Arabidopsis thaliana: one gene and its partners. The protein of the gene in region 2 interacts with the protein of the main gene of each other region in a pairwise test. Each region holds a gene or a part of one and is shown on either strand. Other genes may lie near its edges. The genes, in order: NF-YC13, LBD26 and LRL1.

What was found.
Region 1: the proteins of LBD26 (region 2) and NF-YC13 interact in a two-hybrid assay, tested with the Arabidopsis thaliana proteins (one large-scale study listed by BioGRID).
Region 3: the proteins of LBD26 (region 2) and LRL1 interact in a two-hybrid assay, tested with the Arabidopsis thaliana proteins (one large-scale study listed by BioGRID).

The regions. Positions count from the first base shown.
Region 1 is NC_003076.8:17,353,515-17,359,493, reverse strand, and holds NF-YC13 (nuclear factor Y, subunit C13), read left to right. Parts: upstream 1-2,787; 5' UTR 2,788-2,927; coding exon 2,928-3,320; 3' UTR 3,321-3,649; downstream 3,650-5,979. Other genes in the region: AT5G43260 (chaperone protein dnaJ-like protein), read left to right, coding at 1,508-1,801; AT5G43240 (hypothetical protein (DUF674)), read left to right, coding at 4,729-5,385, 5,454-5,979.
Region 2 is NC_003074.8:10,370,177-10,378,394, forward strand, and holds LBD26 (LOB domain-containing protein 26), read left to right. Parts: upstream 1-3,074; 5' UTR 3,075-3,220; intron 3,221-4,826; exon of another isoform or gene 4,827-5,109; intron 5,110-5,363; exon of another isoform or gene 5,364-5,385; intron 5,386-5,691; 5' UTR 5,692-5,720; coding exon 5,721-6,182; 3' UTR 6,183-6,285; downstream 6,286-8,218. Other genes in the region: AT3G27930 (beta-galactosidase), read right to left, coding at 12-102, 197-273, 390-431, 623-753, 882-962, 1,042-1,130, 1,215-1,298, 1,398-1,451 and 3 more; AT3G27950 (GDSL-like Lipase/Acylhydrolase superfamily protein), read left to right, coding at 7,872-8,109.
Region 3 is NC_003071.7:10,316,762-10,325,155, forward strand, and holds LRL1 (LJRHL1-like 1), read right to left. Parts: upstream 5,663-8,394; 5' UTR 5,417-5,662; coding exon 5,126-5,416; intron 5,097-5,125; exon of another isoform or gene 5,061-5,096; coding exon 4,890-5,060; intron 4,746-4,889; coding exon 4,680-4,745; intron 4,138-4,679; coding exon 4,072-4,137; intron 3,684-4,071; coding exon 3,627-3,683; intron 3,287-3,626; coding exon 2,885-3,286; 3' UTR 2,452-2,884; downstream 1-2,451. Other genes in the region: AT2G24255 (LOW protein: F-box/kelch-repeat protein), read right to left, coding at 1-302.

The DNA of each region.
Region 1 (5,979 bases), on a different chromosome or scaffold from region 2:
TTTTCGTTTTCAGATGAACTAATATAGTTGGACTTTTTGAAAACAATTACAAATCATATTTATGTTTCAAAACCGATGCATTTAACTTTACTTTATATGAACAGACATTATATAAAACAATTTGTAAATAGTAATACATAAACCCGCACGTAGTGCGGGTACTCATCTAGTATACAATAATAAAAACTTCAAAATGATGCAACAATAGCTCAGAATCTTCATATATGGGCCACTCGGCCCACGCCGAATTTGAAAAGCCCGATATTGGAAGTAAGCACGTGCGGTTGTGAGAATTGCTTCTTCGTCCACCATTGGACATGTTTATGGCTGCGTTCGACGCGTGATTTGTTTGTGGAGAAGAGTGCATCGCCTGATAATTCAAGCAACCTAGTTATAGTACAAACGTGAAAGAAACAAAATTAACCCAAAAAATGAAATGGAAGGTTACAATTGCAACCCTTGCAAGATAGTACAACAATATAATAGTAACAATAGAACAATAAACCCTAACCAAACAAAGTAAGAATTACATTCCTCTAATTTTAGTGCATGTAAGTTCGGTTATCACTGCAAACTTAATCATTTCCCTATTGACTAATTCGTAACATAGTTTATACTTTCGATTAATCAATTAATTAATTTACAGTGAATTTGTGAAAAACTTCTAACGAGAAACTTATTATGTTATAAAAGTCAACAAAAGAACTGTATCACACAGAACATATATATTGGGTCTGATTGGTAACCAAAAACTATACAAGTTATTTAGCTGTTAGCTTTATCGGAATAGTGTAAAACTGTTAAAATGAGCTGTACAAAAAAACTGAGAGTAAATTTTTTTGTAACGCTTTTGATAAAGTTTTTGTGATTAGTAACTGTCAAAATTGTATTGTTATTAAAATGGTTACCATTCAAATCTATTAGGTAAAATACAGAGCCGTCCATAAGTACAAGCGGGTCAAACACAAGCTTGTGGCCTCAATTACTATAAATAAAATTTTGATTTTTTTTAGTAGAAAAATTAGTTGCTTGCTTCTTTGATGACAAAAAAAAAAAAGCAAGCAGTCAGATAAATCAATGATAATCTAAAAAAAAGAAAAATCTGACGAAAAAAAAAAAGAAAAAAAAGAAAAATCTGAAGGTTGTACACTTGTAGAAGATATTTTACACACACAGCCCAATAAAAACCCAAATCCAAAAACTGGAGTATCCAAAAAAAACACGGCTGTTTCATTCATCTCCTCACACAACAACTTAACCCTCACTAGCCCACGTGTTTACTTTCTCAACCATTCCCTTATCTCCCAAAATTGTATTTACTTCAAAAATAAACCGAACCGTATCAAATTAAAACAAGACCACACTTTTGTCTGAACACAAAAAAAAAAAAAACTTTTATTTTTTCCTCGAGACGTCTCTCTTCTTCAATTTCTTCACGATTCTACTTTTGCGTTATCCCCAAAATTGGCAACCAAAACCAAACCTCTCTCTCTTATTGAAACCAACAATGAGTCCGATCGTCATAACCCAGTTAGCTACAGGAATCAGCGTTTTAGCCGGTGCGGTCTTTATCAAATCAGTCATGGACCAAAAGCCTATGGCTGGTCAATTCCCTCGTTGTCCGACTTGTAACGGTACTGGACGAGTCACGTGTTTCTGTTCTCGATGGTCCGATGGTGACGTTGGATGTCGTAGGTGTTCTGGTTCAGGTCGTGCGGCTTGTAGCAATTGTGGTGGTTCTGGAACTGGTAGACCTTTACCGGCTCAGATTACGGTTCAGCCACCGAATCGTCCTTATTGATGATTCTCAAGAAATTTGTATACTTTGTAAACGATTCTTCTCTCTTGAACTCTCTCACTCTCTGTCTTGTAAGTTGATTATATATATATACACATAGATGAGAAACAGATTTGATAGCTTCTGTGATATTTTTTCTTGTGTTGGGTTGTTTTGTTACTGTTCATAGTCAAAATATTCGAATTTGTCATTATTGGTGGCTCAAATCTTTAGTATTAACTATTAAGAATTAAGATGATGGGTTTGATCCAATGATACGAAAAGTTAGCTTCTTCTTGTATATTGTTGTAAATGGACTTTGTTGGATGTGTTTGGTTCATGTCTAGTACTCAATATGTGACCATGAGATGTTTCAACAGCCTCTTGTTCCAATGGTATGAAATTGGTTCATGTCTACAACCTCAAAACGTTGTAGAGGAAGGAGTGTTGTGTGTGAATTTTGTGAAAAGCTGCGAATAGTAAAGAGGAAACGGATTAGTTATAACAAATTAAACAGCTACAATTGTAGTAGATGGTCTCTCAAGTCTCAAGATTAGAAACATCTCGGAGCCAAAAAAAGGCTTCCTACAGCCATATAGAAGTATAATCTCAAATCATTATCCACACTTGGAACTATCTCTAAAGCTCATTTGTTATTTGATGGCATTTCTAGTTCGATATGCCACTCCTTAAATCCGTTGCGTTCGTGAAGGATCAATGGGGTTCAATTCAGGTAGCTAGGAGATTTGTACCAACTTGTAGCTTTCTAGAATTCCTTGTACAATGTGATCCAAGTAAAAGAAAGAATCGGTTAAAATTTTCAATATAAAACTTTAAAATAGACTACTAGTACTAGTTTGAGCTAGACAGTGACTCATGTAGAAACAATCTCTACAACATAAAAATCTACGAACCATACCGGGTTACCAAACGTTCTTCTCAATCTCACCAATCGGTTTAAGCTGAAAACCCGAATTAGCAAAATCTTCGTTCGGGCTGTTTTGGTTAATCCGGTTTACATGTTTTCTCATTGCTCATTTTCATTTTCCCGCCGTGACAGAGCGCGTAAATCTCAAAACCCTAAAAATGTCGAACATATACAATTCATTACCTTAATCAGATTTTCTCAACAGAATCAAAATCAAAATCCATGGAGGAAGAAGAAGGATCAATCCGACCAGAGTTTCCAATCGGAAGAGTAAAGAAGATAATGAAACTGGACAAAGACATCAACAAAATCAACTCAGAAGCTCTTCACGTCATCACTTACTCCACCGAACTCTTCCTCCACTTCCTCGCCGAGAAATCTGCTGTTGTTACGGCGGAGAAGAAGCGTAAGACTGTTAATCTCGATCATTTAAGAATCGCCGTGAAAAGACACCAACCTACTAGTGATTTCCTCTTAGACTCGCTTCCGTTGCCGGCTCAGCCTGTCAAACATACCAAATCGGTTTCCGACAAGAAGATTCCGGCGCCGCCAATTGGGACTCGTCGTATCGATGATTTCTTCAGTAAAGGGAAAGCAAAGACTGATTCAGCCTAAAGTAAAATTTCTCATTTTGTTCACAATTGCAAATTTTACTCTGTTCTCAAATCAAAATCTTGTTTTGCTAAAAGTGTAGTGAGAATGTATGGATCATGAGGAACTTTTATAGGAATTGGTAATTTTAAAGATGTTGTGTCTATTAGCATTTCTACTAATTGGAGAAACTGATTCTTGTCCTGTGACTGTGAGATACATCTCATTGTGTTGCTTAGAAATCTCTGCATTGCTCTAACTTTGGTGTGTAGAGATTGAGAGAGAGAGAGAGAGAGGTTTGGGATGTGTATTGTTCTTCTAAGCTATTCTTATATGAATACTACTTTTGAGTGTTTATGTTCTTCTGAAAGAACATGGCTATAGAAGTTGTCGCCGTTACAATAGTATGTTATACTTTCTTTGATTGTGAGCTAATAAGCGCGGTTGTGACCGAGCAAAATGAAAGCTTTTGCGGAATGTATGTTTCAGTTTTCTTTAGTTTTTCATTCTGACAAGTTTTCTAGAGTAGAAGTGAACCAGTCTGATGGGTAAAGTCTGAAACTTTTAACAAGAAAGTGTGATATTTCTCAAGATCACTATCCATGGTTACATTTCTCAATAACTCCTCTCAAACTTCATCTTATATCATCTGCTTTGTAGTGTGGATTTGGTATATGTTCTTTATTTGCTTTTATGGTTTCAGACCAAGTCTAGTGGTATTCAATGATGACTTGAGTGTCCAAAAGCTCTTATTATGTTCTCGGAATTGTGAAAGAAAAAAGTGATTATGTTGACATATCAAATTGATTGAATCCAATGGAACATCCACTTTCTTTAATATTCCGTTTAGTTATTATGAGAACTTGAACCGTTATAATTAAACAACATAAACCAAGCAATTGTGTTCTTTTCGGAACTTGTGGTACATGAACCCGGCGAATTGGATTTACTTCGTTATTTGTTGCCTCTTCCATTCCCGAAACCTTTAATTAAGGCCTTTGACCATGTCTTCTCTAAACTGTTCCACTTCCTCCACTTAAGCTTTATATAAAACCTCAAGTCCTATGAAAAGAACACAATTGCTTGGTTTACTCTAACAAGGTAAAATCTTACGCAGCATATATAGATCATATTGTTGAATATTTATGAAAGTAGTTTTTCCAAGAATTGATGTGTTTGTAGTTTCTTCTGTTTCTAAGCACTAGGAAACCATTTCTTTGATGCCACGTTAGACTATGTTCTTCTGAGGTTTTTGTTCATTGTTAGCCTCGTTACGTATTTTAGCATGTATGATATATGAACAGACTCCGCTCTGTTTAGCTTTTATAAAATTGTTACCTATTTATACAAAATCAATGTAGCTATCGTCTCTAACATGGCTGTGTAAAAAGTGACCTTTTTCATTGTATCAGTGCAGATTTTGTATCAAGACATGTCAGCTACTTTGAAGAATCCGGTGATTAAGTTGAAACTACTCATAGATGAAGAGAAAAACAAAGTTGTATTTGTTGAGGCGGGTAAAGATTTTGTCGATTTACTCTTTAGTTTTTTTACTTTGCCAATGGGAACGATTGTTAGATTGCTGGAGATGTATAAGAAGTCACAGAAAATAGCAATAGGCTGTTTCAGCAATATATATGCAAGTGTTGTGAGTATGGGCATTGAGCATTTCTTGACTGAAGCTTGTAAGCAAATGCTTTTGTATCCGGGCAGTTTGAATCATGAGAAATGTCGAAACCTTAAGCTGAGGGTAGATGATTCCGAGGCTACCAAGTATTTCGTGTGTCCTAAGTTTGTGGAACGTGAGCAATGTACTGAAAGTTACAGCAATTTTAATACCTCGAGATGTAGCTGTGGTGTTTTGATGAATGAAGTGACTCAGCTTGATGGAAGAGGAGGCCTAGCCAGTGCAGGAAATGGTGTTGAAGGTGGAGTATTTGTTAGGAGTGATCATACTTCATTCATGATCACTGATGATTTGAAAGTGGAAATTACCTCTGTTAGGTTGACACTTAATGTTCTTAAAGATCTTGGCTACGTAGATTGTGAAAAGTTGGATGAGAAGATTCATGACGTTAATCTCGAAGAGGTATTATTTTTCTTCAGCTAGACTTTTAAACTTCATGCTCTTATGCTATTTTCTCTTAATTTTTGTAGGTACCGACTTTGCTGGAGTGTTTGTCTACATCGGATAATCCATTGACCGATACATTTCTGAAAAAGAAAAGTTCATATAGTACAAAGAGGATTCAGAAATTGCCGAGTCCTGGCCTCTGTGAAGATAGAGAGGAATCAACACCTGACCAAACGATTACACTAAATGTTGTAAAGAAGGAAGGAAACATTCTGTTTGTTGAATGTGGTGATGACTTTGTTGATCTTCTCTTCACTTTTCTTGCTATACCTCTAGAATCTGCATGGGGAATAGCTGGCGATGGAATCATCATTGGATGCATTGGAAACTTGAGCAAAAGCTTTAAGGACTTAAGTGTTGATCCCGGACGAGAAGCTAAATGTGTTCTTCCTCATTACTACAAGTGTCAGAAGCAGCTACTTGATGCTGTCACCACCCATAAGCCACCGACTTTCTACTTGTATGTGTCCTCCATGGCTTCGAATCATATTAGAGAGTACCGTTTGTCAGAAGACTCCAGTAAGCCACTTGTTTATTTTTGGGATGAAC
Region 2 (8,218 bases):
TTTTTTTATACCTTCAGCAAAAAGTTCTTGTTGGCCTGCCAAGACGCAGCCACCTGCAATAAAGAATCTGGGGCATTGGGTGGCGTCTTGGAATCATCAACCCTTCAATATTAAGACGAAATATAAAGTTCTGTTTCTGTATAGACAAACAGTAGCTACAATGTTTTTTTTTTTTTTACTTAGAGATGTTCACTACCTCGATTGTAGCTCAAAACCAAAATCAATGTAGTTTGTGATTCCAACTACTTGGTTTTCTTCGAAAGGATTTTGCACCTGTTCCAAGTCCATTAAATCGATTTCATATTGAGCCAAAGATGTGCTAAACTTTATATATGGAAGACTAGTATAAGATGCAGCACAGAAAAAGGACTTGTTTGAAAGAGTTGTACCCGTCTTTGGACCACTACGTGTTGGTAGAACGAAGCAATAAACTGCATTTACAAGAAAGATAACATAATCAGCAAGACTAAAAATGCTACAAAATGGATGATATGCCATTAGATAAATAATGTGGTCGTTTGTCAAGTTCCATGAGATACTGAAAAATTGTTTGGGGTTAAGACTTGTGCATACAGACAGCAAAACAACATGTTTTCATCTACACGGATTTTAAAAGAATCACCTGAGAGCTTCTTGCTAGTTCAATGCCAATGTTAAAAGAAGGAGTCAAGGGGCTTTGTGACCCTACTCCATAGCCAGCAGCACAACTCCAGTTTCTTGGGTCTGTGTACTTTGCCAAATCTTTGCTTCCATCTAAAACAAAATCCAATAACAATTGTTGATGCTCACTTTCTTTCAATCACATAATTTATAGATACTAGTTTCCACATGTGATGCGTAAAATCTGTTCAACAGAAATAAAACAATGTAAACTAACTCACGTAGCGGCTCATATTGTACTCCTACTGTAAGACTTCCCATCTTGCTTACAAGCCATGCATGCTTTGGCAATTCGTTATTCGCTGAATTGAAGAATCAAAGGGTCAGCATTGTGTCCAAAAGAAAACAACGTGAATTCACAGAGCAACTTTATGCGCTTACCACTAAAAGGAGTGACAGTAGCTCCGACAGACAAATTCGTTGAGCCATATCTCAACCCCATGATTCTATATTCTTCAGATGATTTTCCACTACAGAGACAACATATATTCACCCTCACAATATTACATCTAATCTAAATATAACAACAGGGTACACACCTAGATACGACTTACGTAATTTTTGAAATCAAAGGGTAGACCGCAAATGCCCCGATTCCATATTTAGGATAGTAAGCAGAAGACCTCATTAGAAGAACCCTTAATGATGATGACAAACAAAACAAACAATTTCAAAACATTAAACTACTGTAATGAACATAACCTCCAAGAATATATCAAAAGTAGCACAAAGTTTACGGATTCGAGGTTGACACAGAGAGATCAACAAAAGTATGAGGATCATCAACATCACTGCATATTTATCAAAAACAAACTAATCAGTATTCCAATTCTCCAACAACTACTTGTAATCTTTCAGATTAAAAACTAAAGAATCTATACCTTTGCCAGCGAAACTCCGCATTCCCAACAAAATCTCCTTCCACTCTACCATCTACAGCACCCGAAACCTTTAGACTATTAAGGAAAATTCTGATTTTCTACATATCCCTAATACATCCATTTAGAGAAAATTCTCGAATCATCACTATATAGAAACTAAATAACACAAAAGAGATTTCAAAATTGGATACAGATGCAACCAAATCCACATGAGGATCATCAGTAGGCTTCAACAAAAACTTGCCCGTGAATCGATTAGCTTCTTCAAAGTAATCCTCAAATAGACATCTCAATGCAAGCTTCCCAAACAACAAATTATATGATGATTCCAACATCCTGCATCAACAACAACAACAATTTCTCACAATCGCACAATTACAATTTAACCTATAAATCAGAATCGATCTATTTGATTAGATTAGGTTATACAAAAACTACTTCGAAATCACGCGATTCTAACAAATTGAAAGTATGAGGATCAGATCGGAGAAGAAGAGGAGATGGTAGACCTAGTGCGGGCGGAGAGAGGAGGGTAATCAAAGAGCGGAGGAACGAGTACCACCGGAGGCGGTGGTTCTTTTTTGACAAGAGCATTCCCCATTGTTCTAGAACGGAGAAGAAGAGATTCTGCGACAACGAGAGAGCTTCTTCGATGAATTCAATAGTTAGTGAGAGCTCTCGGCGATAGTCTCGCTTCTGCTTTTGCTTCACGTTTGAATATTTCAACATTCTTCTATATTAAGACTTTATATAGTAATAAACCTAAGCGGCGCTTTAAATTAACCGACTAATCCAAAAAAAAATCTTTAGAAACTAGACATTATCTTTGTAAAATTTAAATATTAAATTATTCGTATAATATTTTTTTCCCAATTTTTTGGATATTATTTATTGTTGTATACAATTTGTCAAGGTTATGGAGAATGTGTTTATGACAGTTTTGGTAATTGCAAGATATTGTGATGCATATGTGAATGTTTTGAAACCATATTTTAAGATAACATTTTATTAAATTTCAAAATTTTGGTTCTCTACACTGCTACACAACTGAAAAGTTGTTTTTGTTTTGAGATATTTTTTTCTTGGCAATTCGTGGTGACGATGATGTTGATTTGGAGTTATTGCAGCTTCTAGTGGTGGCTTTTCAAGCCTCCAAATCATCAGTTATTGGCATTGGTGGTATTTCTTTAGCTCACTGATATGTTTTGGTTTTGCCTTGATGTTGATGTTGTTGTGAGTTGAGGTATTAGCGTTGCAATGCGTTTGCTGCCTAGTGTTGTGTTTTTACTATGCACTAGTGGAGGTAGTAAGACTAGAGCTGTCAATTGGTCAAAAGGACCATGGGCTCAGCCAAACAAATACTATTACGAACATTTAAAATTTGGCCAAACTAAAACATGGTTTTAGTGGACTCAGCCCAAATAGATCTGCAGTTAGAGGTGGGTTTGACCATTTGGTCAATGGATAAGTCCACCAATTAATTATTTTTGCAATCATCTGTCTTCTTCTCTTCTTCTTCTTTCGTTTTTTCTGAAATCGAATTGGAGAAAAACACAATTGAGAATCGCTTCTAAATTCAAAGCTCTAGATTGTCTTCTTCCTTTGAGGATCGTCTTCTTCCTTCGAGGATCGTCTTCTTCTTTTGAGTATCGTCTACAATGGGTGATTTCTTTGATGAGGTACGGTCTCTTATTTTTAGATCTGGGTTTTGGTTCAGTCATTCTGTTTCCTTTAAATGTGACTTAGCTATTCATGAAAATTATTTTGCAAGATAAAAAGTTAGTATTTGTTTGTTGTTACTATAAGTTTATGTATTGAGAGATAGTTTTTAAACATCATTATCACAATGTTTTATAATATGAGTCAATGTTTTGTTTTGTTTAATTGTTTGAGATAATGGATAATGCTATTATTAACCTGAATGATGAAAACAATACCAATAAAGATTTGGAAGAAGATATGGATCATGAAGGCACTCTTCCTGAGAAAATGAAAGGTACATTCAAGCCAATTCGCCCTACCCGTAGAGTTTCTAAGTGTTGAAATAAATTCACAATAATTGGAGAGAAGTTACCTACTAGTGAACATGATATTAGATGCAACAAATGTAAAACACACTATATATTGAATCTATATAGAAATGGAATGACAACGTTGCTTTGTCATATTAGAACGTGCAATGGAAGTACACAGACTGTTCAAAAGCTAGATATTTTTTTCGTATACTGATTGCAATGGCCATTATTGAGCATGATTTACCATACTCGTTTGTTGAGTATAGGAGGATTAGAATGGCTTTTGGTTATGCTATTCTACAATTCGGTTATAGAGTAGAAACACAACATTTTAGATTAGTATTATGATGTTAAACTTTTTAAAACTATTTTATGATGACTAATTACAATGTTTGTCATGGTCATTTTAGATTAGTATTATGATGTTAAACTTTTTTTTTATCTCCATGGACATATCCAATTGGTCTTGGTCACTCTTGAACTTGGTCACTCTTTGGCTTGGTCATTTTTGTCAACAGAAAAAAAAATGTCCAACTGGACAAGACCATTTGGTCATGGTCAAGCCCAATTGACAGCTCTAAGTAAGACTAATGGTGTTTGGTGTAGCTCTGAGTTACAAAATATAGCTTTGTACTAGTTGCCTTTGGCATTGAACTTGGTAGAGAGAACTTACACCGTTTATATATATATTTTTTTTGTGAAATTCCATTCTGAAGTCGCTTATGGAAATGTTCGACGAGCAGCTCTCGTGTATGAGAGCTGTGGGTGCTTCGCCGTTGACAACTTAGTCTTGGACTTTCGTTGAAAGGTTTCTAGTGTTTTTTATCTTGGTACTTCGGCTCTTATAACTTGAAATTAACATTTGTCTCAAACAACAATTTTAATGCCAACACTAGAATCATCATCACTTCGTATAACTCTATTAGTTTGTGTTTCTGTTGAGTAGATGGACTGAAAACCATGTCTCTGATTTATTCTTACGTATTTTTAATTTCTTTGCCATACGACCATTTTATAGGTAGGTGTACAATCTTTTGATTGTAAACTTAAATTGTTTTTATTTTTATAATAAAACATTTACATATTTAGCAACAACAAAAGATTACGCATTTTTCATATCTTTAACCCATAATGAAGAGGCTTGTTGGTGGTCTATGCGTTAAGTTAACAAGTACTATGCTGCTGCGTTAGTTTTATGTTACACACTTGTGCAAGCTCACAATGTTAAACGATTTCGGATAAAGAATAATAACACTAAAGCATTTTGATAATTTTGTGGTGTGGGGGAGGGGGATGCAACAAGGTACGTCAAAGTATTAGAGGTGGTGTTGCTCTTTTTTTGGGGAAAAAGCTCCATCTTTCTAATTTCAAATGACTTTTTATTTGCTAATTGCTTCAATTTCAATTTTAAGATAATATTTAAACAATGAGAGTAAAATTTAAAATTCAGAAAATCGGGATCTAATTTTACAATAAAACATAATTTGTAGGGAACAAATTTTGAGGGCCCTAGTCCCAAGTTTCGATATGCTACACATCGCGCCGGCTTTAGGGTATTGTAATAAAATAGCGAGTTAATCATTTTCCGATTATTTTTATGTTTTTATTAGACTTGCTTATTGAATAATTCCTCTTATGTAGTTGTTTTCTTTCAAAATATTAAAACAAAAACGAAGTCGTTTTTCAATATACAAATATAATCAAAGTCGTTTTGATTTAATGAAAAGAAAAACCCTAGTTTTCTCTCTATATATATCAATGCATCCGCCTCATCTTTCTTCCACTATATTCCAAGTTCTGAAAAAGTCTCCACATAATCTCCTTCGTTGGTAAGTGTGATTAATCATATATTTTTGTTTCATATTTTTGTATAGAAAACATAAATCTAAATATATAGTGTTTATTAGATAATTTTAGGAGGCTATATGAGTTGTGTTTATCTGAAAGGATTTCTATCAAAATATATGAGATATACTAGATCTAAAATATTTCGATATACAAAGCACTAAAATTCCAAAAAAATAATTTCTACTTCTTATTTGTGTATAATTATATTATTTAAGAAATTAAAATTGTATTGTAATTGCAAACTTTGATGTCTTATGTAATTTGTATATCATTTTTCTGTTTTGCAGTTATTTCGAGAAAAAATAGGCAAAACAAAATGAATGCAAACCCATGCGAAGTTTGCAGGTTCCAAAATAAACAATGCGTCAACAACTGCATGTTTGCTCTGCTATTTCCTTCAAGTGATCTAGAGAAATTTGATGTCGTCAATCGCATCTTTGGACTCGAAACTTTGACATTCTACCTCAAAGACCTTTCACCTATGGAACGCATAGATACTACCCGCACACTCTATTACGAGGCAAAACCATGCTTTCTGAACCCACCCAAGAACCCCTCAAAATTCCTCGAAGCTCTTCTAAATTATCCTTACCAAAAAGCTGAAGAGGTGTCCAAAACAAAGAAGTTGCTCGCATCTTACTCGAGACCATGTGTAGTATTGGCTCTTCCTGCACCAAAATATACTCAGTCGAAATCTAAACCATCTGTTTTGCGCAAAAGAAAAAGAAAGACTAAATCATCGGATGAATCGGCCATTCGTGTGGTTGAAGATTCCTAGATGGTCATTGTTGAAGATTTTTTTTTCTTTCTAAAAGTGAATCTTTGGAACCAAATATGCTTTTAATTTAATTTCAAATAAAATAAAATATGCTTTTATTTCTATGTATTTTGATTTCTTTTTCTTGATGACTTATCTTTCTTTTGAATTATTTATGGATTTTATCAAAGTATATATTATCCATTACATATACTTAATTAGCGTAATTGTAGACTTTTTTTTTAGAAAATATTTTTAACACATCCAGATGTTTGCACATATCCTTTCATGTTTGATTACCAAATTTTCCTTTTTTATGGTCAACATAAGAAAAAAACTTACTATTCATGTGTTAAATATACTTACATTATTGTAAATATAAATAAATAAAATGTAAAAATTCATGAAATTCTATCTTAAACTTTATTAGCATTGGCTAGCGTGTCAAAGACTTTTTCATATTAGACTAGGTATTTAATTATTAGATTTCATACCTTTTCTGTTTAATTATTAATTTTCCCCTTTTAATGGTCAACAGAAAAGAAAAGAAAAAAACTTACTATTCGTGTGTTAAATCTACATACATTATGGTAATTGTAAATCAATAAATAAAATGTGAGAATTCATGAAATTCTATATTAAAACTTTATAATATTGACTCTTTTAACAAAAAAAACTTTATTACATTGACCAGAGTTGTTCAGGACTTTGTTTTTATATTAGGCTAGGTATCCAATTATTAGATTGCATACCCTTTTCTGTTTAATTACTATTTGTTTTCCTTTTTTATGGTCAACAGAAAAAAACTTACTATTCATGTGTTAAATAAACAATACATTATTGTAATTATATATAAATAAATAAAATGTGAAAATATATGAAATTCTATCTTAAACCTTATTACATTGATTTTTTTAAGAGTTTAAATGGGTGCTTGAACTTGCTTTGAGATATAGATATTGTGTTGGAAATGAAAAGGTACTTGGAAATGCTTAGAACATGAACTTAAGTGGAGATTTGGTGATTGCCTAAAAAAAATATGGGAGATTTGGTGATATGAGTTTAGTCTAGGGAAGCATTTGTCTTGAGTTTTTTTTATAAGGAAAAATATATAGCGGAGTTTATGTAGGTTTCTAATTTATGTTGTTTTAGTATACATGAATTTAAAAGAAATCTAACTTCTTTCAAATTTAACTGCTTTTAGTTCAATTCTTTTGAATTTGTTTAACAACGGTTGCACAAATTGTAAAAACATTATTTTTTTTTCCAATTTAATTTAACATTACATTATTTTATATATATATATATATATATATATATATATATATATTTAGAAACGTTGTAAGTATTTTCACGTTTGGTCTCGTACCCAATTTAACATTTTACCGTCACTTTAAGCATATGTGTTTAGCTTCGACAAAACGTTGACATTGAGCTAGTTAGCCATTTGATCTACAAAATCATAAAATTTGACTGCAAATAGTCAAGCAAAGTGTCCCACGTGATTACATCAACAACTTGCTATACAAACTTTGATAGATCTATTTATTTTATAATCTCTACTTGTTGATCATATAATTTCCTATACCCTCTTACCTTAATATAATCCATTAGGAAAGCTTAACATGCCATATACATCGTGAACCAACGACTTCAATAAATACCAGACTAGTTTCTTATTGTCAAGCTCATCGCATCCACTTACTTGACATGGCTATTTCTAAAATAACCCTTGCAATCATCGTTTTACTTCTAGGGTTCACTGAGAAATTATCTGCCTTGTCGAGTAGTTGTAATTTTCCGGCAGTTTTTAACTTTGGAGATTCAAATTCTGACACCGGAGCTATCTCTGCGGCCATTGGAGAGGTTCCTCCACCTAATGGAGTTGCATTTTTTGGAAGATCCGCCGGAAGACACTCCGATGGCCGTCTCATTATAGATTTCATTAGTAAGTATCTTTGATTTTCAATTTTACCCTTTTGTAAATTCTACTAACTATATTCATTAGCAACTTAATTCTACATTGATTTTAGAGTATAAGATAAGAGAAATTTTTG
Region 3 (8,394 bases), on a different chromosome or scaffold from region 2:
ACTAAACATTGAAGAGCATCGGAAAGCTGATCATCAGCAATATCAGGAGATGGACCTTCTCGAGGGTGCACATGTTTTTGCTTTCTGAAGGGAATTCGTTGAACGAGGGAAGAGAGTAACTTGGGCGTAACAAGGGAGACAAAGGAAATGTGGATCGCCACAAGCTGCAAACAGAGCGAGCATGAACAACATCGAAACAGTTGTCCCCTAGATACTTCAAGATACAGTAGCTCCTCAGGGAGCTCAGACCAGTCTGGGGTTATCGATGATGTTGATGTCTTCTTCGTTTTGGGTTCTGCCATGTTTGCTAATGGAGACAGAAAACGCTGCAATCTACGAATTTGCTAAAAAAATTCTAATTTACATTTGAATTGATTGTACAGTAAAATCGCAACAAAATATTGGGGAAAAAACCCGAAGATTCATTTGGCATAAAGAGATATGATCGTACCGTAACTTGGAGCCCAAGGTCTCTGGAGAATTTGAAGGAAGAGAGAGTGATTTTGATTAAGCTTTAAAGAAATTGAGTATACAAAGGAAGAATCGCTTCCGCTGTAGCAATTTACTGTTAGTGTCGATTGTGAAGTTTGCCCTAGACTAGTGTCGTAGACGAGAAGATTTGAGGTGGGACATGAATTGAGAAAGAGGTGGGATTCGGTTCGAGATTGAATTGGGAAATTAACCGAAGGAATTGGCCGGTTAAAATCAAGTGAAGCTGATTAAACAATTCGGGTTTTGATTTTGAATATAAAGATCACGTTTGATAGTGGATTGATAGGCAAAGCTTTGCGAGATGTATCTTTGATCATTTGGAACACGCAAAGTGTTGTGTTCTTGTTCGTTCAATTCTAAAACAAAACGATTGATTGAAAAGGTATGAGTTTGTGAAGTTTGTGCAATAGATTGCAAGGTTAAAGCGATTGGCTTTGATCGAATGGGAGCATTTCCGATACATGTAGCGCCTGGATATTCAAAAAATGGAAAATTGAAAATAGAGAGGCTGCTCGAAAACACTCAAAGTTAAAAATAATGTATTAGACTTAGGGCTTGATTGGTTCTCCCTTTACCACCCGCAAACGCTTGTTAGCGATTGACACCAATCATAGAAATCGTTAGATATCGTTTTGGACCGCTCGAAATCGCCCGTTTTTCAAAAACTCTTTTCCGCAATCGTTTGCGGTTGCGAGCGGTAGCGGTTAGGTTAAAAAAAAATATCATTTTTTAATTAAATTAAATAATTGTGGCTTCCATCCAAACTCTAATTACTATAATTAAAATAATCTAATCTTTTATATATCTGATTTTTATTAGAAAACCTTAATCAATATATTGTAATCGTATTGTCTCAATTATGGCATCCGATGAAAATCAAAATCAAGAATCAAACATAAGTATCATCTATCCTTTTATTCATTCATTACCTAGTGTAATTCTTTAACTATTTCATAGCATCGTTGTTTTTATTTTATTTTGTATTCTTTTGAGTTTTTTGATTGAATACATGTTTCGATTTGTTTTCTCGATTAGAAATCATTTGGTCGGACGAGATGATATATTGTATTTTTATTTGGTCAGAAAATCAAATTTTCTAATATTATAAATTTATCATAATATATTGTATTTTTATTTCTTTTAATAGTAATATATTATATTTATTTTGGTTATTTTTTATTTAATTACTATCGCATCCGCTGGTTTACCAGTCAAACCCCGCAAACGCACCCATTATCAAACGCTCAACCAGTCGTTCAAAACTCTTGATAACGCTTAAAACCGCAACCGTCCGTTTCCGCAAACTCCCGCAATCGCAACCGCATCCGCTGTGTTTAAACCAGTCAGGCCCTTAATTTGGAAATGTCGTTTGCTAAGATTATTTTTCTTTAAATCGATCTGTATATGAAAGAGTATGCACGTCTCAAAGTGTTTAGGAAGATATTTTCAAGAGGAAAGGCATTAAACAAAAAGAGAGTCATAAGGATATTTCAAAGATATGATAAATATATATTGAAATATTGGGTTGTATAGAGAGCAATAATTTCCTAATGGAAAGTAGGAAATATGCTAGTTTGGCAAAAGGGAATGAGGACATGAATTTTTTACATAAGAGACAGGCTTTGTTTGGGTTAGCCAAAATATTTAGGAAAAAAAAAAAGAGAAAAAAAACAAGTTTTGTTAATTAGCGAGCTAGAGTTTCCTCGATGGAATACGTTTTGGTTTCTAGGTTGTGTTCATAGATCAAAGATGTAATTTAAAAAGAAAAATTAATTTTGTAGTGTGGATTTGAGATAGACGTGTGTTGTGATAAAAAGTTAATGGTGTCAAGTTAAGAAAATGTTTTAGACTTTTTAGTATTGAGTAGGTCCATTTAAACAGACTGCTACTGTAAAATTGTTAAATGATGATTGATGTCTATAGTGAAAATGTATAGACGTACGTACCTCTTTGTTTTGTACAGAATTTGTATATTCTTCAAACTCATATCCTAATATTTAGACTTGTGCGATCCATAAACATCTAAAGTCTTGGATTCAATATTTGAGATTTGAGAGACGAGATTATAACTCCATCTCTAAGTGAAAAACCAATATACTATTTTTTTCTTTTTCTAGCCTAATATTCAGATCAACGATACCAACTTTATTTAATAAAAATAAAACATATTGCAACCATATATTTAAAAAAGAAAAAGAAATGTCCCTTGAATGGTTTTGTAGTGCGTAGGTAAAAGAACCAAAACTCTACGAAAAATATGGCTTCGTTCAGAGAACACATCAAACAACCTCAACCTCATTCTTCGTAGACTTTGACTTTATCTCCCACTTCACCCCACTTTCTCTTTGTTTTTGGTATCTCTCTGCCTAACCCCAAAAGTAAACGGCCGTTATCACGCTTTCGAAACGGATACGGCCTCTTTAACGGCGATAGAAGACGACCTCTCGGTCACGCCGTTACCGTTTAATTTCCCATTACCGCTACCCATTTTTGTACTCGTCGACTGTATGGTCATGCCAGAAAGATTGGGAGGGGAAGGACCTCCGACGTCGGCAACAGCTCCAGGGATCAAAGGGTTACGGGAGTGACACGTGGCGGTTGAGATGGCGGTGGCTAAAGAGATTGGCATGAGACAAAGACCTTTCCCTTGAAGATATTGCATGGCCGAGCCCATGTCTTCTTCCATTAGTTTGGCCACTTGATGTTCCGTCATTGTAACGCTGTCGTTGGAGTTTCCGGCCGTCTGGCTACCGCCGACCATGGCGGAGGATGCGTTCCCGTGGGATCCACCAGCCTAAGCAAAATAAAACAAAACATTTTGAAAAACAAAAAGACAAAGAAAGCGAAACCCTAAGTGATTAGTCGGCACGCGTGCTCTCTTTTATATTTCTCTATTTTAGAATTATAAAATTTGTCTTATTTGTTTTCTGTTTCTGGAAACTTTTTACATTCATTTTGTTTTCAACGTCTTGCACGATTTATCTATTTTTACACACCAAAATAATATTTTGTAAAATCTAATTAACATTATAAGAGAAAAGTGATTGTCTAATTTCTTAATTTTGTCCATTGGCTTTGATGTTTATTGAAATTTATGAAAAATGAGTACGTAGAGATAGTAATATATTAGTTACCTCGGAGATTTGAGAAGAAACGGAAGCAGCACCTCCCAATCTGCTCATGCTCAGTACCTAAAACGCATAATTAAATTCAAAACAGAATGATTAAGTACACTGGTCCACTAATTTATAACTTAAAAACATTATTTATCATGTATGTATTTATATGACATAATAATCCAGAATGTATATATAAAATTTGAGGAGGGAGCATAAGGAATTTTAGTTGCAGAGGCCCATAAATTTGATATATTGGTATGTAAAGATTGTACTAATATGTCAGCTTTTCTTTTTGTTTAATATGTCAAACTAAAAGGCAAAAAAACGAATCTTCCATCTATATTGAAGAGAATAAAATAAAACAAATTGCACTCTGTAAAAGAATTACCCCTTGTACGTATGAAAAACAAACTTAATAAAATAATAACTGTAAATATATGAGAGAGAGGGAGAGATTCACCTTGACTTGGAGTTGTAAAAACTTGACATAATCTATGATCTCATCGAGCATCGATGCCTTGTCTGTCTGTCCATTATTATACAAATAAAATACAAAAACAAAACTGTCAGAACTGAGATCCTAACTCATTTATTACTGCATTAGTTAACTTTATTATTGTAGCCTAATTAATTAATTAGCTAATCAGTGTTTAATCATTTGATTGATATATACTACTAGCTACTCCTATATATAGATAGACTACACAACCACCAATTATATGAGTAAAACAAAAAATATAAATTTACTTGTTAACTCCTGAAAGTTCTAGTTGACAGCCTAAAACTATCTCTTGAACAACTAGCTCCAAGAAAGTTCCTGATCATTTCGACACTTATTTTCATTATTTATTTTGTATTTTTTCAATTTTAGGTCTAGAAGATGAGAACTATAAATAGACGATGGAGTTTAAATTGTAAATTAGATGGAATTATGGATCGCACGAATCAAGAGTGGATGATGAATAAAATGATGGAAAGTGAAGTTTATTTTCATAATGATCCATTTAATATTTTAACTAATCTTAATTTTTGGAAACTAAACTGAAAATGAATTGAATAAAAATTTACCTTATTGCCGTTAGGAACGAGTTCTTGAAGAGCTTTCATTCTTTCCGCAATTCTCTCTCTTCGTAACTGTCCCATAAAAACATTTTTTCCAGAAAATACTCAAATCTTTTCTTCAAAAAGCTAAAAAAAATTCAATTTCGACACCTTTCTCGGTAACTGATACAAATTAATGCATCGAACAAAGTAAAATAAAAAACAAAAACAACTAACCCTTTCGGCGATACTATGAGGATCAGTTGCTTGACCTCTCCTAGCTCGGATTTTAGTCCTACTCTGCGGCGGAGCCGCCACCGTACCACCAGTAGCTGTAGACGCGCTCGCCTGAGGTTGCGTTTGCGTTTGCGTTTGTCCTTGTTGGTTCATCAATCCTCCTCCCGATCCCTATATTTCACCATAAGTCTCGTTTTCAAGAAGAGAAAAACTTAGAAAAGAGAAAGAGATTATACCTGAGGGATTTGAAAGTTAGGAAGAGATCCGGCGACGGAGAAGCCATTATAAAGAGCGTGGACGGAGGAGCCATCATTCAAAGGCATCATCATGATCGGCTGATTCCTTGAGTCGACATCGTGGCCGTGGAAGCCATCGGAGGGAAGAGGATGAGCATCATCGACGACGGAGGGCCACGGGGCCGAGGAAAAGATTTGATCGAGGAAGTCTTCGTGGTCGAAAGTTGTTGATGGAGTTTGGATATGGGAAGAAGATGAAGAAGAAGGAGTTAGAAGAGAAGAGTTCATCATGATGATGATGGGTTTCTTCTGCTTCTACACTTTTTTTTGGGAAGAGGTTGAAAAATGTTGAGGTTTATAGCTTTATTATAAAGCAGAATTGTTGTAGTCTTGTAGATATATTATTTTAATTTTAGGTTTTAATTATCATTTTTGGTGATATATTATTAAAACCTTAAAAGAACTTTTGTTTTTCTATTGTGGTTAGCAACCCATATTATATCGTGATGATGAATCGATGATTATCATCTTTTGTTTCGTTTCCGTCTTAAACTTTGGTTTCTCTTTACCCCAAATCTTAATCATTATTTTTTACAGCTTAATACGTATGAAAATAAGTCTTTTTTTAATGTACATATTGCTATCTAAAGAGTTTTATTTGATTATACTTTTTCAGATGCAAACTAGTTTTATTTTACTATACAAATATATATTAAACATTGATGGATAAGAAGTTTATTTATATGGTGCTAAGTGTAATAGCTAGCTTTTGTATACAATTATAGTTTTCTTAGATAACATTTATTGTTTAGCAATTTTATTATTTTTGTGTTTTCATGTAGTTTAATGATTTGTTTTGTTGTTGTAAAATAAATGTTGTTTTCATTTTTCTATACAAAAATTAAATATATTTAATATTTTTGATCAATTATATTTTGTTACATATTTTTTATTAATTAAATTAGGTGTAATTAATAATGTTTTTATAGAAAGGAAATAATTTAAATGAGATTTTTGTGTTTTGTTAATATGTGTAAAAAATCTTATATAAATATTATACTGTATATGGGTGATGATGGCATGCCCGTGATTATTAGTGCCTTTCTTACGTTTCAATTGTGGCTTCTAAAAATTTTACATGGACCAAGGAGTTACCTAATTAGTCCCACCAAAAACCAAATACAAGGAGGATATCCTTGTCCAATCCTAGATCTGATCGATTAAATAGAGGCTTGGATATTCACTCAAAAGGTTTTCCTAAGAAGTTGATTAACCATTTGGGTGGAATTCAAAATGTTCGAGCCATTTAGCCGGATAAACGTGAATTTATCCGAACCATACCAAAATCAAAAATACTTACTTACCCATTGAAAAATCCATTCGACCTAACGACGTTAACCTATTTTTTTTCTTTTCAGAGAGTACATCATTTTAAGGAGAATGATGAAACCAAACGACCCTTTGGATCGATGGAATTCAAGAGATGTACATTGGAGCTACCCAAAATGGTCTCGGACCACCTAAGTGTTACCCAATGATTAATCTAGCTACTTGACTATCTACAGATATACCTTAACTTCAAAATTCACTGGAAAACCAACCATTTTAATGAGAATGATCAAAAAATATTGGCTTTGGATTAAAGTAATTTAGGAGATGGTTAAAAGAGCACAGCCGCTGGTCGTTTACCCATATCTATGACCAGTTTCCAACCCATTTACTTCTAGCCCGACCAAAAACACTTGTAGTCCATCTTGGTAAGCTAATTAGTTTTACATGGTACTGCAAATTTGTTCACACACACATGGTGCATTTGTTCAACTCATATATACGAATGTTAAATAAGTTTTAAAATTGTAAATAAGTTTCTCATTATATAAAAATTTAGAATTTTCCGCAATTGATCATTAACTGAATTATGTATAGTACAAAATTACTCATAAAATGAAACATATTATATATTTATTAATACAATCCGAGAATGAAATATTACATTCATGTTTTAATAATCTTTTCACGATGATAATTGACAATGGTCTAAAATTATAAACTCGAGCAGGTACATTCATCAATGATGCTAGAGCTCTCGAAATTCTACTGTTTTTTTCTATGCCCCCAAGATCACAAACATCCTATCCCAAAGACGATACTCGTAAATTAATAATTACAAAATATGATAATAACTTTTTAAAATGAAATTCCCTATCAATATGATAACTTATCTTTTGAGCTAATCACGTACGACGTGGAGCTTTTTCTTTATAAATAGATAGTTATTATTCTTCTTTTTTTTTATTTTTATATGTAGCTGAAAATTTGGTATTTCTTTAGATTGTGCCACATTCACCATATACTCTTTTTGGGATAAATAATAACATTAAAATATTTGCAAACTTAATTTTTGTGTCCGGATGTTTGACACTTCTTCATTTGGATTCATTAACTAATACATTTAAGGTTTCGAGGTCTGTATTTTGTAGTCAGAAATATTGTTTTCCTCTTTTCCATTAATTGCTAACATGAACACATTTTAATGAAACAAAATCTCTCTATTCATTATATTTTTTTTATATAATTGCATTTTTTCACAATAAAGTTTTCTAATAATAAAATAAATCATAATAAATGCTTACGGGAGTTACGTCTCATTATCATAAAATATTTTTTGATTTCTTGTTAAAATATTCTTTTTGAAAAGTTATCTCAATTCATAGCTATTTTCTTAATTATAGTTATAGACAACAAAATTCGTGAAAGCATACTTATAAAAATCATATATGTGTGACTGTGTGCATGTATCTTCTCATGTTATAATGCACATTCATGCATATATGTATGTAGTGGTTCGTACCATGGAATAAGTTCATTGAAATAATATTCCCAAGTCAGAATTCTTTCAAAAATTTAACGATTAAACAAACATATATAGGCTCATCTACGTTCATGTATGTCTACGTATGTGCATGTGTGTATTGCATATTACGCATATAAATACGTATACATGCATATCGAGCTTTACAAGTTATATCCAACAATCTAAATGGACACGTCTTGTGTTGGCGTGTTCACTTTCCACTCTCCGAGTTATAGGTTTCAAAATGATAAAATTTTATTTTCGGTTAATCGATAGAATGTTACAGTTTTGTGTCACTCACAACTCACAAGTCACAATTTGGTCAATTAATGGTCTTTAATTTAATCAATAGAATGTTACATTAGAAGCCTCAAACTTTCACGGTTCTTTCGATAGAATGTGCACATTCTCTACG